5 linked regions of the Oryzias latipes genome follow. The protein of the gene in region 5 purifies or fractionates together with the protein of the main gene of each other region. This does not show direct contact. Links are inferred from orthologs where the notes say so. Each region holds a gene or a part of one and is shown on either strand. Other genes may lie near its edges.

Evidence for each region.
Region 1: the proteins of wwp1 (region 5) and smad7 purify together in Homo sapiens (affinity purification with western blotting; 3 studies listed by BioGRID, with this or other methods). This does not show direct contact. The link is inferred for Oryzias latipes from reciprocal best matches to the Homo sapiens genes WWP1 and SMAD7.
Region 2: the proteins of wwp1 (region 5) and spartin purify together in Homo sapiens (affinity purification with mass spectrometry; 5 studies listed by BioGRID and IntAct, counting the BioPlex papers as one, with this or other methods). This does not show direct contact. The link is inferred for Oryzias latipes from reciprocal best matches to the Homo sapiens genes WWP1 and SPART.
Region 3: the proteins of wwp1 (region 5) and ptpn14 purify together in Homo sapiens (affinity purification with mass spectrometry; 3 studies listed by BioGRID). This does not show direct contact. The link is inferred for Oryzias latipes from reciprocal best matches to the Homo sapiens genes WWP1 and PTPN14.
Region 4: the proteins of wwp1 (region 5) and smad6 purify together in Homo sapiens (affinity purification with western blotting; 3 studies listed by BioGRID, with this or other methods). This does not show direct contact. The link is inferred for Oryzias latipes from reciprocal best matches to the Homo sapiens genes WWP1 and SMAD6.

The regions. Positions count from the first base shown.
Region 1 is NC_019870.2:9,745,593-9,751,100, forward strand, and holds the end of smad7 (mothers against decapentaplegic homolog 7), read right to left. Parts: intron 2,895-5,508; coding exon 2,359-2,894; 3' UTR 2,023-2,358; downstream 1-2,022. UniProt on the Homo sapiens protein: Antagonist of signaling by TGF-beta (transforming growth factor) type 1 receptor superfamily members; has been shown to inhibit TGF-beta (Transforming growth factor) and activin signaling by associating with their receptors thus preventing SMAD2 access.
Region 2 is NC_019871.2:8,301,123-8,307,024, reverse strand, and holds the end of spartin, read right to left. Parts: intron 5,823-5,902; coding exon 5,628-5,822; intron 5,505-5,627; coding exon 5,346-5,504; intron 3,994-5,345; coding exon 3,903-3,993; intron 3,768-3,902; coding exon of another isoform or gene 3,713-3,767; exon of another isoform or gene 3,119-3,712; coding exon 2,914-3,118; 3' UTR 2,239-2,913; downstream 1-2,238. UniProt on the Homo sapiens protein: Lipophagy receptor that plays an important role in lipid droplet (LD) turnover in motor neurons.
Region 3 is NC_019882.2:9,165,126-9,171,797, reverse strand, and holds the start of ptpn14 (tyrosine-protein phosphatase non-receptor type 14), read right to left. Parts: upstream 4,306-6,672; 5' UTR 3,909-4,305; intron 1-3,908. UniProt on the Homo sapiens protein: Protein tyrosine phosphatase which may play a role in the regulation of lymphangiogenesis, cell-cell adhesion, cell-matrix adhesion, cell migration, cell growth and also regulates TGF-beta gene expression, thereby modulating epithelial-mesenchymal transition.
Region 4 is NC_019864.2:16,415,930-16,422,634, reverse strand, and holds the start of smad6 (mothers against decapentaplegic homolog 6), read left to right. Parts: upstream 1-2,526; 5' UTR 2,527-3,179; coding exon 3,180-3,969; intron 3,970-6,372; coding exon 6,373-6,429; intron 6,430-6,705. UniProt on the Homo sapiens protein: Transforming growth factor-beta superfamily receptors signaling occurs through the Smad family of intracellular mediators. SMAD6 is an inhibitory Smad (i-Smad) that negatively regulates signaling downstream of type I transforming growth factor-beta.
Region 5 is NC_019878.2:10,305,085-10,312,029, reverse strand, and holds the start of wwp1 (NEDD4-like E3 ubiquitin-protein ligase WWP1), read left to right. Parts: upstream 1-2,702; 5' UTR 2,703-2,835; intron 2,836-6,945. UniProt on the Homo sapiens protein: E3 ubiquitin-protein ligase which accepts ubiquitin from an E2 ubiquitin-conjugating enzyme in the form of a thioester and then directly transfers the ubiquitin to targeted substrates.

The sequences.
Region 1 (5,508 bases), on a different chromosome or scaffold from region 5:
TGAAATCCTCTTCACCTTTATCCACCTTTGTCATGGTAGGAATAACACGTCAATGTAAGGATCGGGTCATCTGGACCCCATAGGTTAGCACAAAGGTTAAAGTTTAAATTCCAGGTAATAGTCGTATCCCAAACTTTTCTGCTCTTCACTTCCTTATAACCCAGGAAAATTTCAAACCTCCTTTTAGAATCAGCATAAAACATTTTTTAATGATGAAAAATACATTTTAGACATTTATTTTATAATAACTTTAATTTCATCTAAAGCGTGTGAAATTTAGCAGTAGATGCTGCCATTTCACGAGGGCCATTTTGTCAACTGCTCTGAATGTAAAAATAAAGGTAAGTAATTAATATGCTACTTTTTTAGACTACTAAAAATACAATTTACTTGATCATTTGCATCTGATTTGAACAAATTAAAGAAAATTGCTCTACATTTGTTGAAGTTTTATCCCAAAGGTTTATTTACTAGCTCATAAAGTGCTGCGGTTTTTCGGAGAGAATATTGATGCAAACATTTGTAAAGTAAACATGTGTTTTGTTAAGGTTGTTTACAAATCCTGTAACAGTTTTAATAGAATTATAGAACAAGGTCATCCTGTCTGAGGGAAGTCATGGGTCATGTAACCACAAATACACACGCACCCAAAGCACCAAGCTACTTTATCTAAATTTGAAAGGTTAGGGATTACAGCTGGGAGGGTTTTAGCCGGTTTTTTTTGTGTCATTTTGAGATTTGTCCAGAGATGCTAGAGGAACATTTAGCTTGCACAGTTTACATCTGATGTAAAATAACTGTTTTGGTGCTGGGTCCTCTTTGTTGAAAGAAAAATCAGTTGTTTTACTACAGGTTTTTTTTAAATGGGAAAGAATGCAAGAGTAGGAATCTACTAAAGGTTCAAGTTCATAACTGTTTGGGCTTAATTTCATCATGGAGAATCATCGTTGAATTCCATTTTACCTTTATGTGTAACCCTTGTGCTATCCTAGGCACTTTAACATTGGGAGTTGGGTCATCTAGACCCACCAGACAGTGCTCTGAACCTTTTTTCTTCAATGATTTGTGATCCTCACTGGTGTCCATGGATTACATGAAATCCTCCCCACCTTTATCATGCTAGGGAGAACACGTCAATGCAAGGGTGGGGTCATCTAAGATAGCACAAGGGTTAAAAAAAAGTCGTTCTTGCCGTTCTAAAAAGAGCGCAGAGTAGATATGGGATGGTGTGGAAAGTGGGTCTTGTGAATGTAGGGCTTTGAGACAGTGTATGGGTAAAGCAGGCTTACAGTAATAATCCTCTTCACAGACACCCATCTGACTAGCAACAGGACGAGGTCCAGACAGACTCACACACACACATACTAAGTGTTTATTAGATCTGGTTTGTCTCGTTTGTAGAGCTTTAAGCGTTCATAAATAGGCCATAGCGTCCACGGCATAGTCAGTATCAAAGACTTTAGTTTTGTCTCCATAGTTACTTTTCATAGATGTGACAAAAAAAATCTTCATCCTTTCTCTTAACCAAACATTTGAATAAACTGGTTCCTTTAGAAACCTGGACCCACTGTTGACTTTATTGGTTCCTGACAATCGCCATTACCGCTTCCTGGCTGTGATGTCATGAGTCAGGTAATGACAGAGAAGATGAGAGACATTCTTCCCCAAATAACTCAAGAAAACAGACAGTTTTTAGGCATGATGAGGCTGTAGAAACAGGGGGCTTTGAGATGGGATTCTGTCAAAGTCTGACTCATTTTTGTCTTTGAGGAAATTGCTTTTAAGATACACGGCATGGCCTAAAAGCCCTTTAGTAACACTAAGTCAAGCCAATGTTGACTTTAGTTATAAAGAAGACAAAATTAGAGGGGCTTTATGGAGGGAACATGTGGATCCAATTTAATGAACTGATTTGAAAATTGTGCAAAAAGAAGGCTGGTAAAATAATAATGTTAAAATCCCCCCAAAAGAAGGAAAAACCAAAGAGACTGAATACAAAATATTATTGGCTTTTTTTTATTATTTTGGCATTTCTTTGTTTTTGTACTTATATTAAGCAAAGTGCATCTTGTTTTTTTCTCATCAACACATTGCACAATACATAAATAATGATGCATATAAAACATCTTCATATTTACAATTAATAATATATTTATATTTAACATAAAATACATTTTTTTCACTTCTTCTTTAATTAAATTTCAGTCAATTATGAAACAAAGTCTGTCAGGATTTTAAACTTTCTTCTTCTTCTTTTAAATCCTTTTTTTTCTGTGTTTGAGCCGCTGGAACGAAAAAAGAAAGATGGGTGAAGTATTTTTTTTCCGAGGATGAGGGTGACGAGGGAAAAGGCTGCTGCTATCGGGTGTTGAAGATGACTTCTAACCAGCATGGGCAACTACTGATGAACTGTCTGGTGTAGCATTGTCCCCAGCCTTTCACAAAGCTTATCTGCACCGTGAAGCCTGTGCGAGGCTGCTGCGTGAACTCGTGGTCGTTTGGCCTCTGGAGGCTGTTGGCCTTGTCATAGTCAAAAGCTTTAATGGAGAATCCAGGAAACACCTTGTGCACCAGCAGCGTGCGTGAGTCTGGGTTGTCCAGTGTGGCCGACTTGATGAAGATAGGGTAGCAGCTGCGGTTGTAGACCCACACTCCGTCTGGCTCGCGTGTCAGCTGGATGCCATAACCGATCTTGCTCCGCACCATCTGCACCAGTTGGGACTTGTTGTCGGAGCAGAGCTGGCCCAGGCAGAAGCCGTTCCCTTGAGGTAGATCATAGAAAATGTCCAGAGAGGGCTCCTGGACCGAATAGAGGCGCCCAACGCGTGTCTTCTCCTCCCAGTAAGCCACCACGCACCAATAGCCTCGCTCAGAGTCCTGCAACGCCAAAGAATCTGAAAAAGAGGAAGCATAGAATGTTATAAAAAAAGTAACATCAATGATTATGGTAAATAAGTAAAGAGGTGCAAAGAGAAGTGGATAGAAAACTCAAATGTCAAATATATCTAAAAGGAAATCTGCTGCAACGGAAGAAAGTATGCTTTATCACTGTTTTGGGAAATTGCGACTTCTCTTAAGTCGGGAGCCAAAACAAAACTGTCCTCCCCAATTTCTGCCATGCAGGAAAGCCATGTCGGAATTCCTGGATCTTTGACAAGAAAATCAACCCAGAGACACAGCCAGGCAAGTTTCCACATGTACTACAATATTTATCTAGGCATTAAATGCTTATCTTCTGTCTGGCTCACTGTATTTTTGTAGCAGCACTGCCAACAATGTACTGACGTCAGCCTACCGTCCTCATCGTCTCTACAGCAACACTTCTCACTCTGCTGGAGGATATAAAATAAAAATAAAAACCCATCTTTGATTGACAAAGATAAAGCTAGGATGACTCTGGCGGCAACCAGATGAAGAGCTCTCACACAAACACATAAACCATGCGCGGCAGACGTTTGAGACAGGCCGTTAACTCTCGAACTCTGGTGTCTGGACCGTTGACAAGCAAGGCCTCACCGGTCTAAAGTTTCCCCTGGGTGTAAAAGAAGTGTAGAAATGGCTATGCTCTAGTTTCCAAACTCCTTCCCCCCCTCGCCTGTTTCCCCCCCTTCGGAGTGCCTCCTGTGCCGTCCCCCCCTCGCCCTTCATATCTCTATTCCGCAGAAATCTGGCTCTCAGCTAGAAAAGTGGGAGCCAGTCAGGCGCAAGGGAAATGGAGGGAGACAGGGAGGGGGGCGGGGAGCAGAGAAGGAATGCTTTTCACATATTTTGACTGTTACTTCTGCAACTTTTGCTTCCCTCTCCTGATCTTTAGGTACCTTTGAAGCTTTTGAAGGGTCCCCACCTCTTTGTTGCGACTTCTCTTATCTGGATTTGTCTCTTTGCTGGATTTTTTTCCCGTCGAAACAAGTTTTTACATAAAAAAAAGAGGGGAGACAAAGTCCCTCCCAGCACACATCTTTCTCATTTGACTCCCTCTTTCATTTGGCAGTAGCTGGGAATGTAACCGGTAATTTGGAAGGTCCCGTCTGAGACTAACTGTAATGGTAATGCGGCAGGATCTTTGCCGGTCCAAGCTGACTTAGCACGGCCTGTCATTAGCCTTCATTAAATGCAGGGAGAGGGGAGGGAAAAAGACAACATTAGGAGAGGAAGACGAGGATGGGGAAGGGGGGGGGGCGCAAACTGAAAGCATGCTTCTCCATAAAGCAAGAAGGGCTTGTGTCCTTTGAAGTTGGACCAAACCGAGCCAGAGGGGGATTTTATTTTAAATCTCATGGCGTGCACAGGAAAACAAAACATCCAGCGATCTAAACGGGGGGAAAAGGAGGGATTTATCTCCCAGATAAGACTTTGTGTCTCCTGCAGATGTCAGCCTCCGATCCTGACATGTCTTTTAGACACACAGGTGGATAAAGAGAAGGACTCAGACTTCTTAAAAGTTCACAGTGAGCCTTCAAGCGGCGCTCACCTGTGCGGCCTTCTGCGTGTGTGCGTGTTTGTTTTTGCTAGGAGACAGAGCTTGGCGTCACAGGTCATTAGAGAGACTGCCTGTCTGAGCCTGTCATTGCAGCCTGAAAACACCCTGCTATTCAGGACTGCACGAACTGCCCCGCTTCCACTGCCTCACGGGCTTCTTCTATCCACATCGGAGAAAAGAAAACCATAAAAGGAAAAACTGCAAAAAAAAAAAAAAAAAAAAAACACTGACTGATAATATTCCAAGCAGAAGAAAAAGCTACAAAGCCAGTAAAGCAACGCCGTTACAGCGATCCTTTGTTTAGGCAAATATCGCTTCACCAGACCGACTATAAACAGACCCAATAGACTCAAAGACAAGCTGCTAATCAGTCACGGTTGAATACTTTTTAGCACTTTGTCATAAAATGCAGCATTCTGCTCTTCATGTATGACACCGTGACATCAAATGGCCATTTCTATAAAACCATCACCATTCTCTGCCCAGCTTCAATCCCCCCTACAGGTAAACAAACTCATTCTGCTCAGTTCCTCTAGTGAAACTGGAGATGGGTGGACTGCTCCATCTAAATGTTCACAGATTGTCCAAACAGCAGGTGAGCTAACACCTCACACTGCCAGCTAAACATGGAGATTTCTAAAAACCCTCATTTTCTTTCCTCATGAAAGGCCTCCTTTTGAAGTTCATTTTGTGACACAAAGTGCGGAGCTTATCGATTGCGTGACAGACTCCCGAGGACCATGTGTCCCTTTTCCTAACACCTGAATTCTTACTGTTCATCTGTCTGTCTGTCTGCCTGTCTGCCTGCTGAAGCTTTAGCCTGCCTCCCCACCTGCTTGTCCGCACTCTCAGACTGCTTGTGCCGTGGTTCTTCTTGCTGGAGATAAGCTGCCTGGCTGGCAGCCTCCGGCCATCTGTCACCTCAGCCCTTTAAGCTCAGCTCCTTTTCTCCTGGATCCAGATTCGGCCACCCTCCTTTTCAAAATAAAAGGCCCTTTTTTTCTCTGACACAAAGGGGCAGCTGAAAT
Region 2 (5,902 bases), on a different chromosome or scaffold from region 5:
CTTAAATTTCTATTTCTAGTATTATTCACAAAATCCAACAATAAGAATCAAACACTTATTTGAGATTCTTGGCTGCATAAAAAATTCTGCAAGCTAAATCCTGATAGCAGAAGGTTGTACAATGAAAAAAACAGGGTTTTGTTGCAATCTCTTACCTTCAAGGTGAGGACAAATGCAAGGATTTCCAAACGAGACGCCCCTCAATCTTTTATTTATGTGAAGCCTTGGAGGAATCATGCGTCCCTTTGTTGCACTATGATGGTGGCCTCCCTTCCTGCTGCCGTGTGTCTGCTCTACCCTGTGCTCACATGCAGACTGGAGGCAGGGCAGCCGGTGTCCTCCACCCTCCCCTGCTCCATTGCAGTAATTCAGACAGATGGGAGAAGCAGTTCTCCATGGCAACAAGACAGCATTCTAGCAGGATTGCTCAGCAAATGACATTTAAATCCATTTCTAAACAGATAAAACTGATAGACTTTTTTTTTTTCTTCTCCAAGTTATTGATCTAAATAATTTACATGCTTTGGTGATTTAAAAACCAAATTAAATTTGTGTCCCTTTTATTATTTTGTAAATATTAAATTAATTAATTGCAAGACAGTAAGCTAACAGTAAAATGAAAGATAGTACAACAAATAGGTATGTTGTTGCTCATCTCTCACAGTTGTACTGAATAGATGGAATGCGTTTTCACTTGCTCCAACAGCAGCCTAGACTTTTAAGATTAATTGAGCTGCACTATGAGCAGGTGATCTCTATGTAGGACAGGTAACAGTAAGTTACTGTTTACCTAAACACAAAGGAAGCCATTAAAAACATAGCATTTATTGCTGTCAGCACTTTTGGCTTGATTCAGTTTTATGCCAGCGTTTACATTAGTGTTAGGCTTCTGTCCAGTCGCTGATGCTGTACTCTTATCCTCTGTCTAAAGGATTACATGCAGGTCTGCTGACCAGGTAATTTGGCTAAAATGTTCATAAAGACAGAGAAAGGTTGTGACTTTGAAAAACTTCTTTGTTTCTGAGAAGGTCAATAATCTTGTGAATTCCTTATAACTTCATAAACAGCATCTTGGCAAAAGACAAGCAAGTTAAAATCAGCATTCTTTAGACTTTAGGCTTTTATTAATGAGTCTAAAGGGGAAACTACCAGAAGAACTGTTATTCTGCTGAAAAAAGTGAGTTTTAAAGTTTCTTCTTGCAAAGATTAGTGTAACATAAGTTTTTTTTGGTCATTATTTTTGTGTGTGGTCTTTACTGTAATCTAAAAATTGAAAAAAAAAGATTTTCATTTGCTATATAACATTTTTGTTTATAGTGGAAAATCAGTGGTATTTCTCACCAGAACATGTTGTTTATGGTTCTGCATTTTTCCAGCTGACCACATACAACTGCACTTAATGTCTGTAAATAATAAATAAGCTACCTGTCTAATGTGTCCTCATGTCAGCAGCAAAAGATCTTATCCTACGTGAACAATTATTTCGCTTTCATTAGGTTAACATGTCAACAAGGACAGGGTGCATTCACAAGAGCTACACAGATTTATTTTTTTAGTTTGAATAAAATTAATCTAAAAATACTTGATCTCAACTTTCTGAGAAGTCATCTCTGGAAACCAATGAAGAAAGTTATTACATTTTTTAAATTTGATAGTCAGGAGTGACTGCAGGGTACCAACTTGGTGCATTATATCTATTTATTTATCCCCCAGCCCTGACTGGGATGCTGCATCCAGAAGAGAATCTGCAAACAAGTGTATTTGCAGTTGTCTCCTGCATCAACAGTCGATGGATCGAATATTTGCTCCAGCTGACGGCCTGACCTCGGTGGACGCCTGGCCAATATTGTTGGACAAATCGACTGTTTCCCCGGGGACAAATGCTGCCGATGTGGAAGGATCAGCTTCACTGCAGTCTATGAAAAATGGTTGGATCAGACATGGGACTGGACCAGATGTCATGGGAAATTCTAACAAAATGAATCCTTTTCTGTCTCAATTGTTAAGTTTCCCATTCTTTGGAAGAAAAGAGATAAGGCTGTATCTTTGTTTTCCCCTCCCTGACAGTTACACCGAGGGTAATATTCTTTCAAAAACCACAAATCTTTTCGACGAGTATTTACAAATGACCAATTTTCATCCATGCAATATGCCTAAAATGTACGGTTGTGTGACACAGCCTTAAAAGTTGAAACAACCCATCTTGTTAAGTGGTTTAAAAAAAAAAAACACTAAATATTTTCATGTTTACTTCAAATAAATCTTTATTTAGGAGAAAATTTCATTGTACATGGCTAGTGTAGAGCACATCAGATTTAGACAGATTTGAAGGTATAGCAGCTGAACATAAATATTTCATGTTTTTAGACACCTGACATTTAGACTAAAGAGCCAACAACCATTTTCTGACTTCATCAGGAATGTTCCAGAAGAAAGTTTCAGAATACAAACATTTACAAACTTCCAAAATGGTTTATTGTGTAAAGGCACAGTCAGCACAGCAACCAAACATATCAGACAAGATGAAATTTGAAGAAATATTTATAAAAAATATTTAGTTTTGGTTAGTCATTTACTTACAAACACACATTTATGAATGACAGTTATTGAAGAGTAATTCAAAATATATACGTTTTTAATAAACAGATTTAAATATAGGGGCTTTCATGTTGAATGGTCATATCTAAATAATACTTCTAACAGTAAAGTGATATTTTGGTTTGATTTATACAATCACGTTAAAATCCTGCTGTTCTATATCACAAAGATTAAAGTGCTCATCTGTATAAATTAAGATATGCAAATCATAGCAGTTCCATTTGTAATATAGAAGATGTTTATAAACAGCTCTCTCTTTAATATTGTATTAGTAACCTTCTTAAGGCATAGCTGAGGTAACACCGTCAGACAGCACTATTTCTTGAAACTCTCTACTTGCTTCCCGCTCTCTGGTTTCTCCTGAAGCCTGTAGTCTTCCAGGATGGCTTGTGCCGTTTGCTTGCCCGTTCTTTTCACCACGGCTTTGATCCCGAGGTTGTCAATGTTGAAGGCAGTGATGCCGACATTTATGGCTGAATTGACAGCGTGGTCTGTGGCCTGTCCCGCTGCGGCCCCGTACCTTGGAAGTCAGATTGGGTAAGAGGTTAGAGCAAAAGAAAGATGCAGTGATTTAGGACTGAAAAGACACCGAAAAGGAAATATCCATGTGAGGGTCATGCAAGTGCAGGATTTGCATACAAACTTGTAAAAATTCAAAGTCCAATTAATGTTTGAGAGTAGGCAGGCATGACCAGAAAATTAAAAGATGCACATTTCTGTTCTTCACATGGACATAGAAACCATAACTACGACCTCCTGAATGTTGATTTCCCACCAAGTCAGAAACAAAAGAAGTTTATTTAAGGAAGATTTCATTAAAATCAATATTTTTGGGTGATTCAGCAGAATGGAATCAGCTGGAATCAACTTTGTTACGTTAAAATCGGAGCATATAACGTGTTATTAAAGCAGGAAAAGATGTTATAGTTAAATTATTACCAAATTAGGACATTTATGTCAGAATAAATTCTGTTAAAGTAAAGGAATGTAGTGAATTAACACAGAAGGGAGGGAAGTAATGCATTTTTTCCTCAAAGCAAAATGTTAAGAAAACAGAGAATTAAATTATTCATATGCGATTAATGAAGTGATTAGTAAAATCTCTAGTGTATAGTTAGTTACACGTCTTCTCATTAGGTGTGTCGAAGACGTTTTCTAGGCCCCTAAATCTGCAAAGCAAATTGAAAATGTACAAAAAAAGTGAAAATTTAGTTATTTGTAATATGGTGCAGAAACATAATCTGAATCAAAATATAGCTATGATGGCGGGCACAATTAGCAGGTGAAAAACGTTGAAAATGTACTTGTGTTTTACGGTGGTGACCGTCTCTGCTGCAACACTTGAAGCAATGTCCTTGGCTGCCGATTCCAAACCGGTCCACATGGTCGCAAATCCTAGACAAAAACATGGTTCCAGCACACATTATGTTCAAAATTCAACTTTTCAACAAATAAATGATATGCAATAAGAGTCATTTGGTGGTTTACCCAATACAAATCTTAAAGTGGAAGTTTTAGAGGTGCTGAAAACTGAAAACATTTGCTCCCATTTTTTTGGTTCTTGGTATGACCCAATGACCCAATTGTGGATTCAAACCCACAGTCTAGTGTCTTGAGGCAGACATCCTCCCACTAGGGCACAGAACTGAGTTTTCCTACTAAAACCTAACCCTTAATGTACATATTCACTTACACAAGTTTTAGATTTTACAAATGATTACATTATTTATTTATTTATTTATAGATAATACTGATCTACAGTGAATTGTTTATGCACAGATTCAGTTCAGTGGATCAAAAACAAACGTTTTTTTATTTCAAACATTTCTCTCAAGTATTTCATGTACTTGTATCACTTTTTGGTCTTGAATTAATAGAAAAATTAATACTTTTCAAAAATAAAAGCATGGTTAAAAATGACATTTCAAAGCTCATCAGAACTTCTCTTATGAATTTAGTCCTAACGTTCCATAAAACCTGGAACAGTTTAAAAACGTTTTACCTTTTTTAGTTTCTTTCCCTTTAAAATGCATCTTAAAATAAAAAGAAGAAATAAGAATTATGCAACATTCTTTTTCATCATTTAATTGAAGTAATTAGTTCATGCCCAGGTTTTTCTGCCGAGATTATTTACAAACTTTATTTTATTTAATTTGAATCCAAAAGGGGGAAATCATGTTTGGTTGGTAAGAAGACATTTTTGCAATACTTTTTCTTAGATTTGTATCCATCAGACATTACCTAAGTATGTTGCTTTTTTTTCCTACAATGTGCTTTGAGTTGACTTACTGGAAATGTATATAATTAAGACCAAGTCTAAGACCACTTTTTTATTTATTTTTTTACTAAACTAAAGATTTAGAGCATCATTATCTAAAAATCACAGAAGAAAATAAATCAACTCTTTGAGGAAGAGTTTGTGGCCAAGCAGGTGGAGGAAGAGCAACAGAAAGGTTTTCTCTGCTTAACTTTTGCTAACCCTGACAATAAAAAAAGTAAAGCCTTTCATGAAAATCTTAAGAATTCACTTTGACATTAAGTTGTTCAATCAACAAAATCTAAATGTGCGATCATATTCATGAATTTATTCCTTTTTTTATTTACACAAGTTTATCCAGTAAAAACATAAAATTAAGTCAAAAAACTGGATTGAGGTCTTTAAACTAGTTCTGCTTAAGTTTCTGAACGTCAACATGAAGTTGGTTCCACATACATCTCAAGGAAAACAAAGAACTGTTTTGCTTTACCTTGAACGCCACTGGCAGCTACAACCATCGCTCCATCAATGTTTGAGCGCCCGTCCTTGTCCTTCTTCATGGACTCGGGGATGAGCTTGCCTCCATGTTTTTTGACATGAGGCGCCAACTCACGGCCCACACAGCCAGCAACTGTACAAACACCATCCACTAGAGACAACAACAACGACAACAACAACAACAACAACAACAACAACGCTCCGTTAGAGATCTACAATAAAACCCGGATATAAACTCTGTGAAAAAAACTTTTCATGACTATGAAGATGTTACCTAGAAACTGGCTGACTTTAACAGCTCCACCGGTCGCCTGTTTTGCCACGTGGAGGCTTTTGGTGACAGTGGGGCTGACTTGGGTGGGCTTGTCCTCTGGTGTGATGTGCTCTCTGAGCATAGATGCCCCTTTGTGAATAGCCTTGCCAGTGTATGCTGCCCCTTTCACCAGACCCCAGCTCAACCAGGATGCCCCTAACAGGATAACACACAGCGAGTCAGTCAGGATTATTGACCGATATTTGATAACCAATGGATAAAACACCAAACGAAAG
Region 3 (6,672 bases), on a different chromosome or scaffold from region 5:
CCCGGCTGATTGGGGAGGTGGAGGAGGAGGTATGTTCTGCTGCAAGAGACATAGCCGGCGGTGACTGACAATTCGCGTGAAGCACCTGGTGCAGGACGGGAGAGGTGAACAGGTCGCTACATGCTCTCTGCTCTGTTATTGTGCACAGCAGGATGACGAAGGGAGCAGGGAGCACATAGCCTACGACAAAAGGCTCAGATGCCCATTCAAGTCAAACACCAGAAAGCAGGCAGCATGTTTCACTGTACACTGATTATTAACGGTTTATGGGCAAGTTTGGAACAACTAGGTATTTAAAAATGGATGAAATGATCCGATTAATATGTTTTCTTAAAAGAAGACCAACAAAACTACCGAGACAAAGCTACTTCTTGTTGTTTTTTAAGCAACTATGTGGTATAATCTGCTCTCATATCTGAAAAAAAAAGCTTTAAATGAAGTAAATTACAATGAGACCTTTAGAAAATATTCAAATTATTATATATACAGATTGCATGCACTGCAACTGGTTCTCTGTCAACTCATTTACAAAAAAGGACCTTGTGTCCTTGTGGGCATGTTAAAATGGGTTCAATCTAGAATTTTTAACCCAGTTATACAAGTCAAATGTGCAGAAAAAGGTTTAAACTTAGCTTTTTTCCTATCCACTGGTCTTCAAAGTACTTTCTCCCTGCTTCTTGTCTACATTTTGGCACATACTTGAAAAAGTCTTAATATTTATTGACACTGATGAGTGAGCCGCCATGACACTCAACCCAGCTCACCAGACATAATTGAGGGTTCAAGGGTCATGTCCAAGGATACCTTAACATGTTGCTAGTTGGGAGCTGACTAATCTGCCCCTGACCCACAAGCAAAAAAAAAAAAAAGTTGTGATGTTTTTATTTAATAGAGTAAATATATAAATCAACTAAAACCCTAAACCAAACAGCATCTTCTTCATCAACTAATGAAGTTTATTTCCAATCTGAAGCCACGACGTTAAAAAATTACTTAGGTTAATTGATGTCAGGTCTGTGACACAATTATCATAAAAATGAATGTCTTGTAGAGGCAGAGTATTGGAATGAAAAGAATGAAAGAGGCCATTTGATCTGTAAAAGTGTTGGACATATTTTGCTGTTAAAACAGAAGGTTGTGGATCTTCTGACACACAATATGTGCATTTGTGTAAACCACTTCTGTAATTTAGGCTAAACTTGATTTATATTCATTACATTTGTTTGTGAATGTGCGTGTGCATGGGTGTGTGATCGTGGTCCTGCGGCAGACTGACGACCCCAGCCTTCACCCAAAAGTGGCAGGGATAGGCTCCAGCAGCCATGTGACCCCGAACGGGAGCTAACTATACAGAAGATGAATGAATGAACGAACATTTGTATTTTCTTTTTTTTTTTTTCGTTGGACTGGACAGAAAAGAAGAAGAGGAAAGAAGGAAGGGATGTCAGTGACAGGGGGTAAGGGCACAGAAGAATGGGGGAAAGGGGGGGTGAGGAGATCTGGAGGATGATTACAGAGGTGGAGGTGGTCTTTTAATCCTTAAGCAACAAGATTTACATCAAAAGTGTTTTAATAACTGTTAGAGTCCCACTCGGATCATCTTATGATCCATTTTCAAAGCGTTCCCAGTCGTCTCTTAATTATGATTATGCCGTTTTTAGCCTAAATCAAAAAACCTGTGTGGTTCTATAGAACATAGTTTCTGCAGAGCAGCAGTAGTCCATCAGAAATTTTGCCTCTGAGTTGTGGGCAGAACAGTGGGTGCGGCGTAAGACATCCCCCTTCCCTTCATCCATCCGTTTACGTGCTCTTTGGCTAGCGTGCAGCCCCTCACAACCCCAACCAAACATTATTGCTGCATGGCGAAATGGCGAGCAATATTGAAGCTATCCAGCTGTACGGTTTTGAGCCAGATTCCAGCTCAGACGAGGAAAAACAAAGATCAACATGGATGCATCAGAAGGGAGCGGAGAAGGCAGTCTAAGGACTCCTGATTCACAAATGTTTCTCTTTTGGCTTTTCCCATCAGGGGTCGCCACAGCGAACGAGTCGCATAGTAAACTTGGCAATGTTTTACGCCGGATGCCCTTCCTGACGCAACCCTCTCAAAGCAAACGGGCTTGGGACCGGCACAGAAGGGAACAGGGAGCAGCCCGAAGTCGAACCCTGGTTTTCACGGACGGAAGGCGCCGCAAACCAGCACGAGCTAAACCGGCTCCCCTCCTGATTCACAAATATTTTAATTAAAAAAAAAAATTCAGAATTGAAACTTTAAGCTAGATTTTTTTTCAATATTTCCTCATGAGAAAAACACCACAAGAACATGGTAAAAAAATAACTAAAAACACGGCCTTTAAATACTTTTAAAAAACATTCCTCAACACCAAACTGTAGATGGGTTAGAAGTTTTATTTTCTACAAAGCAGAAGATAAACAAACAATTTAGAGAAACTGAAGAAATCTCTGTGTGTCAGGGACAATTTAAGACAACATTCCTTGTGATTGTGTCGATGATGCTGCCAAATGATTCAAGGAAGCAGAAAGGTTTGAGGGTGAGCCCAAAAGCTCCATCCTGCAGAAAGGAAGCCACAGGGCCCAGAAGCAGTGTGTCATTAGGTCAAGATTCATTTAAAAAGGAGCCGTTTCAAAGTGGAACAGTGTTCTGAGGTCAGACGAGTCCACATGTGATGGTCTTGTTGGTAATCAGACGCCATGTCACTGACAGACCCGTCAGTGTGCTCTCTGCGCTCTATTCAAAGCCGCCATCCTTGGCAGTATGGGGAGGCAAAAATGCTTCTATTGATCCCCATTTGGACCAACCGTTCGGTCCGTCTGTTTCTTCAACAGTGGCCGGAGTGGTGCTTTAGTGATAACAGTGACCACTGATGCCCGTTTTCTTCTGCTTGCCAAAAGCATTCGGCCAAAATGACATTTATGTTTGCACCACACTATAATCAAACGGCCTATGTCCTTAAATAACAATTGGCTGCACAAACAATAACCGCTCAGGCTGTTAACTGCCGGGCGGCAGCATCCAGTAAACACCTATTGTGGGGATTGACCTTCAGTGAAAATCAGGAACGGCACATTTCAGCTGCTTTCCTCTGCTGCTGCTGCAGAACCACCTCAGCCACCTCCATGGAGTGTGTGGAGCAGGAAGTGGATAGGTGCTCATGCTTCACATGTTTTAGTCCTTTAAATTCTTCACATGGGTGTACTCCCAAGTCACTATGTAATTTAAACAGCGTGCCTTTGAGCTCATAAAGATAACCAGATGCGCGCGTGCTGTAACTATCCTTTCTTTTCCATTTCAGAGCACACAGCAACCCCACCACCACCACCACCACCACCACCTCCTCCCTCCCTGCCTGCCTGCCTGCCTCTCTGCCTGTTTGAAGTGGCAGTCCATAGAAATGCATGTCCAAACACATCTTCTACACAAACATGAATGCCAGGGTGTGAGAGACCAACAGAAAAACATCAGCAGCTCTGCTCAAACTCAGCTCCACATGTTCCAGACACACCTGTGTGCATTCACTTACCCTGACTGGATCAGTTCCCGGGCTCCATGTGGGACCACCACAATCTCTGATGGGTTTTCTTTAGGTAAAATATGACACTTTCTGATTGATCCCCCTAAAAGTCATCAGTTTTCTTCCATTTCGCATCTTTTTGTGAGCATCTTTACCCAGCCTGAGTCCAAACTGTGTGTTTATCTGTGTTGATCTATGAGGGGAGAGTCATTTCTCCCGTGATACTTAATTTAACTTAAATGTTTGTATCATCAAGACTGATTTACACAGTTAGCGTTTCCTCTATTTTTTTTTTCAAAGTCAACACATCCTTGCTACGAACTTCAAATAGTTAAAACACAAATGTCCAACTTTTTCCTCAGAACTCAAACTCACCTTTTTTTTTTCTTTTTTCTTTTTTCCTTTGCGCTACATTCCAAATCTCCTCGGTTTTGGAGGCGATTCGCCGCGGAGTGGGTTTAATCCTCAGAAGAGCCTTTTTTTTTTAAAGCAGTTTAAAATTCCGACTGGGGAGCAGAGATGTCGAAAGTCTTTTCAAACTTCACAAGAGAGAAAAATGATTGAGAGAAAACGCCACCAAAGCTGCTGCGCGTCCCCAAGCTGGTGCTTTTTCGGAACTTCTTTTGTTCTGATGCTCTCATGGCGCACAAAAACTGCGCAAAACTTTGGTAAAAGTCGTGCAGATCGGCCAAAGATGTGCTCTTCTCTCGCTGCAACTCTTCGTGTGTTTATAGTAGCGGTCCCTGCAGTCCAATGGAGGCGTTCAGGGCGGGCGGGGAATACAGAATACGCTGCGTTCAAAACCCAAGAAAATAATCGGAATAAGGATTTTTACTAAACGTGTTCCTTTTTATTTTTTTAATCGGTGTTTTTCTAAATATTTTTTAAGTACATTTCTCATGCATTCTTACATCATTAGTCATAACTTTATATTATTCATAAATTAAATAAAAATGTGTATTTAATCTGTGCTTTCAATTTTGTTTTTTTGAAACAAATTTCGGGTTAAAAATTGTGTTTATGAGAATTTTACCCATCTTTCATTTATGCAGTTTTTTTAATTGTTTTTTTTTTTCATTATATTTTGGATATTGGATTTTCCTTGTTCTTTCTTTTCTTCTTTTTTTTAGTTCATTGCCATATGATTTTTATATTTTCTTATTATGTTTATGTATACATCTCTTTCCTTTTTATTTCAAAGCACCTTTTTTGCACTTGGTCATTTAAAATTGCAACTAAAATAAAGTTGTGTAATGATATAAACAAATAACCTCAGAACACCTCTGTGTTTAACCATAATTAGATTTTAAATTTCATATTTCCTTAAAAAATTTTACTGTAGCCAATATATGCTATTTGCTTGAAATTTAATAAATTGAAAACTCTTTTGGTAGCGCTGGTAGCGTTGATGGTGTACGTGAACGCCTCATTGGGTCCAGACGCCTTCAGAGCCCCGCCCCCACTGTTCTGACATCAGAGTGGAGAAATCCCAGGAATGCGGGAATTCTGGGAGAAGTCCTCTGCGTTTAATGGTTTTCCAGGGGCCGCGGGAGACTCACGCACAAAGTAGGGCCCCCCTCTCTTTTTTATGTTCCGCCGTTGCGTGCTAACGACGCTGTGAAGGAGTAAATTCAAATAACCGACAAATATAACACGTTTTTAAATATATGTTGATCCATATTTATCCCAAAAGTACCAACAAAAAAAAGTGTTTTTTTGTATTATCTCTACTTGTTGCAATGTTAAACTTTTACACTTTTTCACACTTTGTAAAAAAAAAGGCCATTAAAAGAGAATTTCTTTTTTTAATTTAATAACTGTACTTATTTAAAAAAAAGTGTTATCTAGAACTACAAAAATAAAATACATTTTTAAAGACGTCAAACAAAGGATTTTTCCTGGATGTAAATATATATTTAATTTTTCAAACATAGGCCTTTTTTTACAGAACACATGCAGGGCTTCTTTGATTTTCTGCCTTTTATTGCTAAAGTTTGTCAGGATTTTTAACTGTCTCAGATGTGAAAACTGAAGATTATCATACTGTATTTGTGGACAAGTTGCAGCCTCTTGTGGCTGAAACAGCAAATGACAGCCATAAAAATAAGCAAAGGACATACTTTCAAAAAATACTGAAAGAATTTATAACATTAAATTCTCAAATACAATAAATTTAACCTGCCATAGATCAAATGTTTAAGGCTCATCTCTCTGAGAGCCTGCACGGGGGTCAAAAAGATGCTGGCTGGAGCCTATCCCTTAATTTTTTTAAGGCCAAAGGCGGAGTACACCTTGAATGCGTCACCACATCTATACAGGCCCATCAGAATTGTAGTGATTACAATAAATCATTAGAACAATTTTTTTTACATTTTTGCAAAAAAAGAAAAGGATGATTCAAAAACTTCTGCTGTAAAATCTCTAATATATCTGCTTTCTTTTGTTTATGTAGAGCTGGCTTAGGAGCACATGTTCAGTCCTGATTGATTTTACATAATGAAACCTTTAAACGGCAAAAAATGTAATTACACCCCAACTATGTAATTTTATGAAGAAAAACGACAAAGACGTGACGTTATTTTGATCGTTATTTTGATCATTTGATCGTTATAAGTGACGTTATTTTGATCATTTGGAACATAAATTTTCTGTGGTGTCGTGCCATGTGCTGCCGATACACTAATATTTGGGTAGAAAATTGCTGTAATTGTTTATATTTGGGGGAAAAATTCAAGAAAAGTTAACACAAAAAACATTATCTTTGAGCTCTAAACCACTGGAATCACACTTTCTTTAATAGACTTAAACCACTTGAAAATAATTTAATTAAACTTGGAAGTTTATTTATGAACTTGTTAGCCTGTTTTGTACATCATTTTTTTTTTTTTTTTTTTAACTGTGAGACACTTGGAAGAAAGACAAAAGCAGGCATGTGACACGTTATCTGATGTCTGTGTTTAAGCAGACCTGCAGAATTGAGGTCTCCTCACGGAAGGCCTCCACAATAAAGGCTTCCTTTTAGAGTCCACACCTAAAGTCCGATCGCGGTGCCGATAAGCTCAAAAACACGTTGCTTTTTGACTGTGACCCTGCTCTGACCTGGTGCCTCCTGCATCCCAAAGTGGGTCGGCGCTTGGTT
Region 4 (6,705 bases), on a different chromosome or scaffold from region 5:
TATGGCTCTTTCGAAATTACATTTCAAAATATGTGGCGTTTATGGCTCTCTCGGCCAAAAAGGTTCCCGACCCCTGAAATAGATGATGATCATCCAGTTTTTTTTTTTGTTGCTTCTATTTCTTTTATTCTATTTCCTATGACACACACATTTCTTACTGTAACATGTTTTGTGTTAATAAATCTTAACTTAATAGTTTCTTTTTTAAAAGCTGATTTGCGTAATTTCCCTGTTGTGAGACTTGCAATTTTAAAAACAATGTATTTTTATAACAATTGGTAAATATAAAGACAAAATTTGCTTAATTTTATTTACTGTTCTTTAAGATCTTTCAACACTGAAGCTTATTAAGCACAAATCAAGAAATAGTTCTTAGAAAATAATTTAATTGAATAACTATATATGAAAACTAACCCTTGTGTAATTTAGTGCAACTCTTATAGTATTTTTTCCTAAAACCTCTCTAATAGTATTTCCATTGTGAATATGTCATAATTATTCAACAGGTCTATATCATACAAAATCAACCTTTTGAGTTCTGAAGTGTATTATATTTGTTCATTCCTCATAATAAGAAACCCCAAAGCTTTTTTTTTTAAATCCGTTCACAAATTTCTGAGTATTCCTCTAAAAACTTGTACTCTGAGCACCAGCCTCTCCCAGCAAGCAGGTTCTCACAAGCTGGCGTAGACCAGTGAGAACAGCCCCTTCCAGGAAGAGTCTGCACTGCCAGCACCACCCCCTTGCTAAAACAAAAAACACACACTTTCTCCATGGAGCTATAGCGGTATTTGACAAAAACACTTTCCTTTTATATGCACAATATGCACACCCATCTTTGCAAAAGTTTGGATGTTTGTTTTGGGGGCGAAACGAAGAAACACCGCTGAGGTTGACTATAGGTAAGTCACAAAATGTGCGGCACCCACACAGAGAGAAAGCCAGTGCCTCAGAGAGCAAGTCGCCTTACTTCTGAGTAAGACCAAAGCTCAGAAAAATAACTCTGTACAGTTATTTACAACTCTGTACTTTCTGTACATATTGTACATTTTTTGTTGTTGATGTGAGTACAGTATTTCTATTTTATTTTATTTATCTATATCACTCCAAAGCTGCTGCAATTTCATTGTATCATCATGTACAATGATAATAAAAAGATTCTGATTCTCATATTTCACTAAAAAAAGCATACTTTTGTGTGCCAAAATTAATATGAAATCATATACATGGATATTATTTACTATAAAAGGCTTAAGAATATAGTGTAGGCCCTTTAAGATACACACAAAAACTAAAAATACCAGACTATTTCAAAATAAGGATGGATTGTACTGGAATTGTTTCAATTCAATTAATCAAACAAATAATAATACTAAAGAAGAAAAAAAAGGTGTATTCATTTAGGCATAGGTATATCAAACTTAAGATGATTGATCATCATTCAATTGGAAATTTAAATGAAGGATAATTAAATGCCATTATAATTAATTCTAATCTTAGACACAGTTCTGTTTAAACATACAATACATGACACATTGAATTCATTACATTTAAAGTTTGTCGAAACAGTTAAACTAATTGCATGAAAAGGGGTGGGAGGAAACAAACCTATATACTCCAATGGACCCCTATTATGATTTCCTTTACTATTTTACTTGTTTTTTTGTTTTTATGTATTTACCATATCTGGTTTGCAACTTCTAAACTCCTAACATTGCATTAATCATCATAAGTTAAGTATCAAAATGGAATTATTTCAAAATTGATACTTAAAAATGGCTTGTATTTTCATACATGTTTCAATGTGTTTTTAATTTTATTTATAACATTTGTTATTATAATATATAATTTATTAATTCAAAATAAAAATAGAAAAGCTTTTCAACGCATCCCACTGGGAAAGGTTAACTGATGGACTTGGCACCAACAACTTGTGCAGCAAATCATTAGAAGTCATAAATGTGTTTAATGTCAGGCTGCGTTCAATATTTTATGAATTAAGCTTTTTCATCTTAAGTATTGAAACTCCCCCTGGAGCACATTATATCTGACAAAGAATCATATCCTCCAGAAATATATTTAGATAATGAAATAAACAGAATTGCATTGAAAGCCGTGCGGCTGAGAACTGATGGATAAACAGTAAAAATACTGAGATGTGCATGGGAGTGACTGACTGAGAGCCCCCTTACAGCACAGATCCTGCATGCATGCAAATAAGTTTCAGAAAGTTTTTGCTTCAAAAACCGAGAGGTGACTGTTTCGCCTTTAAGAGTTAAGAAACTTGAAACCTTGTTTGCGCAACAATCAGTGCAGCTCACAGCCGCCAAAGTGTCTAGACTAGCACATGATGGTAGTCAGCCAATGGCTCCACCGCTCTCCTCGGGGGCCCCGTGTGTGTGCGCCAGTCTGTGTGAGTGTGTGTGTGTGTGTGAGAGAGAGAGAGAGAGAGAGAGAGAGAGAGAGAGAGAGAGAGAGAGAGAGAGAGAGAGAGAGAGAGGTAGAGTGGGGAGAAAAGAAAAAGAGCGAGAAACGGAGAAAGAAAGAAAGGGATCTAGGTTGCAGTTTGGTCCAGGTCTGAGCAGAGACGCAGGCGCGCGCTTCAGCCACGGATTCGTGTAGTTTCCGCTTTCATGGAGGCTTTGGCTGGGATTTAAAAAAAGAAAAGAAAAAAAAGAACATCTTTAGAAAGCGGAAAGGATCTTTTACTTCTGCTGTATTTTCATTGGATTTAATTGGATTGAAGTGGGCTGCCTCACGCTCTGCGCGCCGGTGTAGAAAGTAGATCCAACAATTCGGGGAACTGTCATGGACTTGATCTTAAGGCTGCTCGTTGGGATTATGTTACTGGACGTGTTGTGTTGTGTTGTTGCGTGTTTTTAACAAACACACTGAAGGGTCCACTCCGCCTGGACAAGAAGCCAGCGTCTGCAGCCGCTCCGTAGCCCCAGCTGAACGCATGCCTGTCAGTTGGAATGCTGCAGTACGTTTGCGTCGCGGGTCGGTTGTTGTAGATGCAACAAACTCGCCTTTATTCTAATGCACCGTCAGTGCTCATCGGTTGGCTGTGCATGCACTGCACGGCGGTTCGGTGTCATTGATGATTTGCAACGACAGTAAAAGTGTGTGTAGTCTATCCGTACACGAATAACCCCCCTTCTAGTAGTTCGAGGTGTCGTATGTTCAGGACGAAACGCTCAGGTCTTGTGCGGCGACTGTGGAGAAGCCGTTTGATCCCAGATAAAGAGGGGGGAGATGGAAATGGCACAACTAGTGAGGGCTGTCGGGACGATCTGTTCGGCAACAACCCGGAGAAAATTCCCAAAACGGAGTTCAGACCGATGACCCCGAGTGGGTCCTTTGGAAGAGACTTGGGGTGCGTGTGCCCCGTGGAGAGCAGCGGCTCGGGCGTCACGTCGGACCAAGATGAGGGCGCAGTGTGCGTCCAGGAACAGGGGAGCCCCCGCTCTGTTCAGGACAGCGAGTGCAGGACGGTGACGTGCTGCTTATTTAAAGACCGGGACCACTTCGAGGTTAGGGGTCCGGAAACGGCTCAGGGTAACAGGGATCCAGGGTCGTGCCACTTCATGCTGAGGAACCTTGGAGGAGGAGACGGCGGCTCTCCTGACGCGCACGAGGCGATGCCCCGCGTGCTGTTGGAGCAAGAACTGAAGTCCGCCACATATTCTCTTTTGAAAAGGCTAAAGGAGAAGGCGCTGGATACTTTACTGGAGGCAGTGGAGTCCAGAGGAGGGATGCCGAGCGAATGTGTCATGGTTTCCGGGACGGAGCTGAAGTTTGGTGGACATGCGGCGTCTCCACCGCTGCTGGTGTGTAAAGTGTACCGCTGGGCTGACCTCCAGCACTCGGCTCAGCTCAAGCCACTCTGTGAGTGCAAGAGCTTTGGGGCCCTGGACTGCCCCACTGTTTGCTGCAATCCCTATCACTACAGCCGGCTCTGTGGGCCAGGTAAGACCCCCCCTGCAACACATCCTTTATGATCAAACTGACCCCCCCAATGTTGATCCTGCAACTTAATTTTCTATTAGTCTACATGATATGAGAAGCATGTGGCCTAAATTATGCTGTAAACCTGTATTGTCACTCAGATTAGAGTTTCATCTGCTCTCATACTTTAGAAGAAGCATCATCATCTTCCTTCCTTCAACATGAAGCACAGTAACTCCAAACTAACCAAGGACAGCCTGGTTGATAGTATGCTTTTAAACATTTGAAAAGAGGCTCAGAAAACTTTTTAAGGGCCTAAAAATCTTCCCATGACAGAATAAAGCATGACTTTGGCCTACAGCATCAGAACCAAGTGTTTGTCCGTTTCCAGCACTCCTTATAACCCTTGTCACCTTATAGCTTTAGATCATCTATATATCTATTGTCAGTTCAGATGTTTTTAGTTGTTTTTTTTGAGTTTTTACCCCCATATGATAAGATTGTCCAGATTCAGATGTTAGTTCCTCTCCATTGAGTTGGAGTGAGCTCCTCAAGACACACAGACTCCCTGACCCGTATTAAACGTATTAAAACTTGGCTGCGGATGGGGCCTGCGATTTAGTTTAAACGCTGGGCCACTCAACCCCGCTGACCCATTGACAAGGCTTGGTGTCATGTGTAAAGATGCAAGCGTCAGTATTTCTGTCTTCTCACTGGCATTGAAGGCGTATTTTCCATAACATCCACGTTGTCCAGAGCCAGCGGGCTGTTGCAAACATTTTAAAGTCACAAGTTCAGCACTATCAAAATTCATATAGTTGGGAAATTGATGAGTTACTGGATCTCAAAAGTGGAGCAGGCGTCAGAAATGATCAGACTCAAATACAGTAAAGTTTTATCATAAGTTATTTTTTAAATAAGTAAAACATTTTTCATGTAAATTGTTGAACATTTGGTACATCTGCATGTGAAGCGCAGGTTTCCTTTCCACTAAAACCCCCAAGATGAATTGTGAGGAGAGAGGCACATTCCCTGCACTGGGACTGAGGCTCATAGTAGACATAGCTCACATGCGCTCATGCGTGGCTCAGTAGAGCTGGTATTTCTTTCACGCTATTCAAAAAGAAGGGGGGCTATGAATAAAGACTTTAATTACTGGTTTAGATTTTGCAAAACCAGAATGTAAAACATAGAGACTTATATCTAATTATTACACAGGTAATGAAAAGGCTTTGAGTCAAAAGAAACTCATTCCTCAGGTTTAATCTTGTGCTTTATTTTAGCATTATTTTCTATTGTTTGAGTATATGAAAATAAAGTTGTCCTTTAAAGTTTTTTCTCTCTCAGAGACTTAAAAAACAAAACAAAAAAACAGGCAAAGTACTTAAAGTACTGAAGTGGACAGAAACTTCTCCTTCCTAATTTGCCAGGCATTATACTTTTCGAATGAGATCAGTTTCAAGTTGCGCTTTAAAAGCCCTTTTGTCCTGAGGAGGTCCCCTCATGCCATTTAGGTGAAGGAGTGGTGATAATATACAGTTTGCATACTACTGGCGCCAGACTGACTAGCTGTGTATCTGAGTGACTGAGTTCAGATCCTGGCAATTACTGCCGCCACTCTTAAAGGACCCGCTGCTATTATGCTTTTCTCCTTCCCATTTTCCCTGCAGGCGAGGTCACAGTGTGCTCACAAAGTTTTCTTTTCTTTGTGCTTTCCCTCTTGTGCAAGCTATTTTCCTCACTTTTTTTTTATTAGATGAAATCAAGATCCTGAAAACACTGAATTTGAAAAGTAGAGATTAAGTTAAACTAAAAGTTATCGTCAGACTGCGGTTGTAGAAAATAAACTATTCTGGTTTAATAAAAATGCTTAAGAACAATGAACAAATAAAAGTCTTTTGTGTTGGTTTTAGAAGGCTTTTAATCAGCTTGGAGCCTAAAAGACTTGAATTTATAGCAGACTCTAAAGTGTGAATATGTGGTCTCTTGCTCTGAAATGGAACTATGGTGTTGAAGCCTCCCTTGTGGTTGAAATTTAGTTTTGTATTATATCATTCTGTTCCTTTTATTGAAGGCTTTGAACATAGTTTTACGCAGAATCTGCTATAGTAAGCTCATTCTCTAAAGTTTCTAAAGTGGATTAAGGTGTGCACTAAAGTTCGATTAGACAAGTTCCAAATATATTAAACATTTATTTTTTTCCAAACTTAACTGATTTTCTTGCCTCGAAATAGCATGCTGTGATGTTAGCGTTGTATTATAAATGTCAGCTGGATCTTGTCAGACTTCAAACAGTTAAACAGAATTGTGTTTGCACGGGGCTGGCGTTTGCAGAGAAACTTTGGTGATTCTGCAGCAGATTTTCCGCCTAACCTTTCCTCCTTCCTTTCATTAGGTTATTGATGTTGCTGTTTTGTGTTACAGAGTCACCCCCACCCCCATATTCAAGGCTTTCCTCTAATGAAGAACACAAGCCACTGGGTAAGTTTGACTGTCTGCAAATAGTTTATTTATGTGGCGGCTAAAGCTTGTTTATTTTTTTTGAATGTGTGATCTTGAAGTCTTAATATTTTGCACATATTATTTTCCCCTAAGCAGTATTGCACAAAAATGCAATAAGTCATATTGGTGAAAGTTGTATTTTGCCAATGTCATAGTATTTTGTGATGATTTGTTTAGTTTTTTTGGTAAAGTTTGATTTATTTGCTATGAAACATTACGCTGAATGATGCATGAATTTACCTGACAGGTGTATGC
Region 5 (6,945 bases):
CACTTCCTCTAAGTCAAAAAACTTTTTTTTTCTTTTGCACAAATTTACCTTTTGTAACTTCAGTTGTCCGAAATAAACTGTAACTGCTAAATTACTCTTTCATTGTTTCATAATGTTTCTCCCCACATCCAGTTAGAGGTTTTCCAAAAGGAACTCTTTGGCCCCAGGCAAAAATGATTTAAGGGTCCAGAGTCAGTTTACCGTGTCCAGTAAAAAGCTTCTAAATGGGACGTGCTGTGCACGCTCCTTCAAGATGCTCTTTTATGCTTGAACGTGTGACATTTATTAGCTGTTAGAAAATGATGTGTTCTTGTTTCCATCCTAAAACCCTTTTTCCATTTTTTTCCTCTTTGTAGAAGTTTTATTCTGATGCCTAGTTTTGCTATAATTTTTGCTCTTTTGCCAGGAGCAAGTTTACGAAGGAGGAGGGGGCTAGCTCTGAGGGAGTTTCAAAATACCTCATGGGTTGCTTTTTCTGTAATGGATCGCAGAGTTTGTGGCTTTTGCTGTCGTTGCTGACAGCTCCAGACTCCCTCCATGATGGTTTTCAAGCATTCTGTTGACTGGGCTATCCAGCATCTCAAACAGTCTGATGCTTCATGAGGTCCAAACACAAAAATCACTGTTCTTGGTTTAATTTTTGAAAGCTTTTGTCAGAACACTGCTGGTCTCATTGTGATCTTTTTATTTTTTTTGTCTAATAAAAAAAATTACCTTTTACTTATTCTGCTGTTCAATTTTTGAATGATTCTCCTTCAGGTCGAGTGAATACCGATACGCTTCAGCTCTAAAAGGTTCTCTAGAGTTGGCGGAGTGTTTATAAAAGGTTGGTCCTGACTTTTTGAGGAGCCATTGATCGTCTGCTAAGCATTTTTATTTTTAAAAGGTAGATTTCTTTAAACTGCCCTCTGACTCATTGCCTGCATGGCCACAAAGTTCTAATAAGCTCTGATTTGAAGTGAATTAAAAAAATTGTGGCCTGCATGCAGCAACTTACAGGCGATAAAAGTAAATTTTCTTCAGGGCATGCCATGTTCTCAAATGATCTCATGCCACTCTGTAAAACTGCAGGTTTATAGTCTGACAGAGGACTTTGGTCACAAAGTTGTTGCTTTTGTTCTTTTTTACGGGATTTCCCGGCCCTTACCTCACCATTAATGTCTTACGTCTTTTCATCAATGATCATAATTCCACTCATTTTTTATCTTTGTGATATAAATGTAAACTGGTATCCTAAATGTAAAAGAATATCGCAGTAATTATCCATATTGAATTTGTTTATGTCTCAACATTTCCTTGTCTTCTGTGATAGAAATCCTAACCTGATATGTTTCTGTCTCCATTACGCTCTGCAGGGCTGCTTTCACAGGCTTGACATTACTTAGATTTAAGGCTCAGGAACCTTCCCTAAAGCTTTGTTCTTCCTTCCAAATCCCTGAGAAGTTATTGTCGGAAGCTTTTATTTCTCTTCTTTTTATTGCTTCGCAGTTGGATCATGGAGTTTTGTGTGTTTGTGTTCTCATGTTTCTTTTGAAACTAGGTCTTATCCTCACAAAGACAACTGAACTCATTCTTATATGTCTAAAGAAAGCATTAGTTGTACAGTGGGGGGGGGGGGGGGTCTTGTTCGATGATTCTGTACGTGGTCCTTCTTTAAAGATCAGAGGTCTGTAATGTTTACCACAGCCACACTTCAACTGTGAGAGACAGACTGAAAAGAATTATTCAGGAATTCACATTGTGTGATTTTTAAACATTTCATTTCTACAAAGGTGCTGAAATAAGAATTTGGTCAATCAACTTTACCTCAATAATTTGTATCGCAACCCTGGTTTCAATGACAGACGTCATATGTTTCCTGTGGGTCTTCACTAGGTTTGAACTCACTCTAGCTGCTATTTTGGTCCATTCTTCCTTGTAGATCTTCTTAAGAGCTGAAATGTATTGGAGTTGTTGCTGGGCAACACAGGGTTTCAACTCCCTCCCTATATTCCTGGTAAGAGGAATAATGTGACCTTGGCCCGCCGAGAAGTTGTTACATTACAAACCCAAGCTTTTTCAAATGACAAGTTTTTTGTCTACTCCTGATCCAAAGACAATTTGAAAAAAAGAAATCGTCAGAAAAGCAATTTTCATTTAAATTTTTTTTATACATGTCCTCCATCACAAGAAAAAGACTAAGAACATTTTAAAAACACAATTTTCATTGGCATGGATCTTTAAAACAGTTATCCTGTTTCCTTTGAAGAAAAGCGGCCCCAACGCATGATGCTTCCACCATCATGCTTCACAGTCATTGAGAAATTCTTTCAAAATATTTTTAATAACACAAAAAAACTAAACAATGAGAAAAACTAACTGTTTTGGTTTGATGTTTTCCAATGTCTCTGCAAAGTTTCCATTGAGGAATTAAAGTTTGACAGCTTCCAATAAAATTATGTTTAAATAGCTGAAACCAATAATTAAATAACTATAATAAAGTTGTCAACCAAAATAATAAACCAAGCTTGCAAGTTTTCAATTGTTTTAATTAATACAACACAAATTAGAATGTACTTAAATACAGATAAATATTATTTAAATAAAATATGAATCCGTAAAAACCCTCACATGGTTTTAGCAGACATGTTATATTAGACTGTTGGTTCTGACCCTGTCTGCCGTTATCGGATCTGTTGTTATTACACAGCAGAATTCGGGGTGGCGCGCGCCCGTTTCACTGGTCGGAAGCGTACAGTAGAGATGGCAGCAGAGCCGTAGTAGACTGCGAGGCCTGTACGGTTCCCGACAACCGCTACGTGACGAGCAGGGATTGTAAATGGAGGAGCGAACAAGGTAAAAACAACACCGCCCGTGTTCTTTCTTAACCCATAACACACCAAGTTCCCCTCACGACGGTGAATGTGTATTTTATCCATTTGACTTTGCTTCCCGTCATGGGGGACAATTAGCCAAGCTGCTAAGTAAGTAAGTTAGTTAGCACGCCGGCTAGTAGCTGGTTGCTAACTCTGTTAAGTTTGTTACGTTAGCTAGCTAAAGAAGCTACACACCTAAATAATAAACACACGATAAAGTTTCTTTATGCGTCCTAATATTAACACTTCGATATGTAGGCAACCATTATTAATGGCAATTTAAAGGCTAGGTATCTATAGCCACCATAACAATACTGGGAAGCTTTATTTTAGACTCAAAAGAAATCAGAAAATATCACTCAATATTCGTAAAGGAATAAAATAAAATGGAAAACAGAAAAACACTAAGCAGTCAACATCACGGATAGTGTAGAAAACTGAGATCCTTCCAAAACCTCCCAAATGGCACTTCAGGAATCAAACGTCACTAATTTGAGGATTTAAAAACACCAGTTACAACAGAATTATTGTGTTTAACGAGTCATGCATATGGAGCAGGAGAGTTGTTTAAAAAAAAAAGTAAGATAGCTTTTGAGGTTACGTTATAAACTTTAAATTAAATGTAAAGCTTGGTTAATAGTTTTAATTTCATTGTTGACAGTGTTTTGTAATTCCATGTTGTAAATTGCACTTCAAACAAGGAATTGTATTATTGTTTTGTAATTGCTTGATACATACTGTGATATACAAGTCAATTTATAAAGGTTTTACAGCTACATTTGCAATTGCATTTGAAAATACATTTTTTAAGGGGGAATCCTTTATTTTATTAGAAAACCCTCTTGATTTAATAGATTAAAAGAAATTTTCCATATTCCTTTATTTTCATTGTACTGTCCCCTGGTGCATTTCAAATACACTTTGCAATTCAATTTAATTAACTGTTTAGCCTCTCCTTTTATTTTTTGTGTGACGTTCTGGGGCCTTATAGTAGAGGGAAACTGGTACTTGAAAGTACCCCCGCTCTCTGATTGGTTACACTGTGTCATGCTGTCATGGCTACCTCTTAGAGCAGAGCTGTCCAACCTCTGGTCCTCAAGGTCTACCACCCTGCCTTGTTTTACTGTTTTTCACTGCACCTCTCTCTGCTGACTCAGGTGTCTCCTTGTTCCGCTTAACTGAACTCACCTGATCCGGGTAATCAGCCGCACAAAGTGGAGGCAGAGCTGGAAAACAGGCAGGCCTTGAGGACTGGGGTTGGGCAGCCCTGTTCTATAGGATCATGCTCTTTAACACCAGCTTCTTTTAGTGAATTCACATAGTGGAAGCCACAGCAGTTCTGGATTTTTGGGCTTCAATAACTAGTGATAATTCATCCTTCTGATCACAGATGCAGGTTGTTTATCTTATTGACTTCATTACACTCAGTAGTCCCTTTGAATGAGCTAAAACAACTACAACAGGTGTAGATTTTGTGAGAGGTTTCTTTGCAAGAAAAGCTATTATTGTAGATATCTGATGATTATTTCATAGTGTTAAATCTAAAGAGAAGTAGGGCTGTGGATTATTACTTGAGTGGCAATCTGATTCATCTACAGAAAACACTTGATAGCTTTACTTTGATAGCTTTACTTTGAAGATTGATTCACTTTCTGTGACAGTAGCACAGGTTTGTTTACTTTATATTCTTAAATCCAGCATTATTCAGCAATTTTAAAGTGATAATTACATTGCCTGAAATGTATTTGTATTATACTCTTCTATGTTTATAAAGATCGCAAATGAATGATCTTAAACGTCACAAATATCTGTTTTAAATTTTTCTTGTACTGATTGTGGATATTCTAGTTTCTAGATACTCCTTACAGCCCTTGTGAGAACCTTTTGGCAAAAGCACGCAACATTTTTGATCTTAACAAGTTGTGCCTGACTCTACAATCCATTCTAATTTTTGATCTTTGGTTGTTGTTTAAAGCCAGGCTTAGATTGTTCAGTGACTGTTTCAATCGTCTTTTCCCACACAGCTTTAAACCGGTAAAGTCCTTTTCTTTGGATATCAGTAAAACTGCTCCGTTTCTATGACATCAAGGATTCCTCCTCCTGATCTAGAATTCCCTCTGCAATGCTCATACTGCTGACATGCGGAGTGTGTTGAGGCTTTGTCATTCATCAGCTTCCACTGATCACTTCCCACAACAGAAGCCAGCCTTATCTTTCTGTTCAAGAAAAAAAATTTCACACTATCGTACCAACAGAAATAATTCTCACACACTGATTGATGTCTGATCCTCACATACATATAACTGAGTAAACAACGGCTGATTGATGGCTGCCATGTTTTTTGCAAAGCATTTTAGATAGGGCTGCAGCTATCGATTTTTTTTTTTTGTAATCGATTAATCTAGCACTTGATCGATCGATTAATCGAGTAATCGGATAAAACGATTTGTGTGTGTTTTTGAACAACCAAAACAAATAATGCATAACAAAAATGATGTGGTTGTAAAATGAACAAGCATTTGGCTTTTATTTCTCAACAGAGGTATTTATTTCCAATTCCAAAAGTTTGGCTCCAAAATTTAAGTGCCAAGTTGGCATTGCCAACAATTATAGAACAATGTACAGTTAAGTGAACTTACAGTAACATGTATAACATGTATTGTAAAACTAATATGAATATAAACTTAGTTTTTTGTCTTCTTAATACACAACATTACAAAAAAAGGATTGCACCTTCTGCAAATTTAGTTTAGTTAACCTGGGAACAAAAAATGAATATAAAATATCGAGCCAAACAGGTACACAATGTATACAATGTATAAAAAAATTATGTAAATAAAAGAATTATAAACAATTATAAATAATAAGCTGTAATCTCAAAACAAACATCAAAATGTACGTGTTTGTGTGCGTGCGTGCATGTGTTTGTGTGTGTGTGAAGGGGGTCTTTTTTTAGGCTATACTCTCTTGCAATTGAACGTGATACGTTTACTACTTTAAAACATCATCAAAGTTAAACATCATATCTAGTCAAACCGCATCACGACATCGCTACAAATGCAGTATGGGATTAAAATCAGCGAACATCAATAGGCTTAAACTATGTTAATTTACCTTGTTTCAGCGATGCTTGGTGAAACAGCATAGAGTGGATGTCTTCTGTTCAGATGCTGAATCATGGAAGATGTACTGTTGTCGTATGCCAGCTCTATTTTGCCGTGACATCTCACGTTTTCTGCCGTTTACTTATAGATCTATTCTCCGCCATCGCACCTACTAAATTCAAAAGGCCCGTGTGAATAAACGGTCCGTGTGACACAATCAAATCCCTGCGCCGCGCGTATGGTGCACGTAGGATTTTAACGAGGCTTCGAGGCAGAGTTTTTGCCTCAAGGAATTTTTGTAATCGAGTAACTCGAGTAACTCGAGGAATCGTTTCAGCCCTAATTTTAGAGACTAAAATTAATTACAGGAAATATTCATTCCTATTTAGTAACATTTTGCAATATTATTATTGGGTGAGAGGAGAAAGGTGTTGATGAGTTGATCGGTTTAGATGGAGCATTTGAGGTTATCATTTCAGCATTTGTCAAAAGATCTGTGCATGATGAGAACTCAGAAAAACACTTATGTTCATGTGTCTATATTATTTTTAATTTTTGGAAACATGCAAAATATTTCTGAAGACTGAAAACATTTTACAAGTTTGCAGAAAATCTTTACAGCTGTAAATCTCCTTTACACACACTCAAATATTTTTACAGCCATCAATCCTTTTTATACGAGGATACATTGGTATTGCAAAAGCAAAAAACCTTTCTGCTATTACAACTTTTTTTTTTTTAACAGATGCAGACATTTTGTTTGAAGAGGCAAAACATACTTGCATGTGTGAACATCATTTTAACACAAACTACAAAATACCAATAAAAGAAATATAACTCTATAGCAATAGGGAACCTGCTGAGTTACATTAGCAGTGGTTTGATATCCTGCTTGACACTCCATTTGTCATGGCAACAGACAGCATTATCATGCAAGCACAGATGAGTAAATATTAGATCAAATGAGGCCTCATGGCTTCAACTTT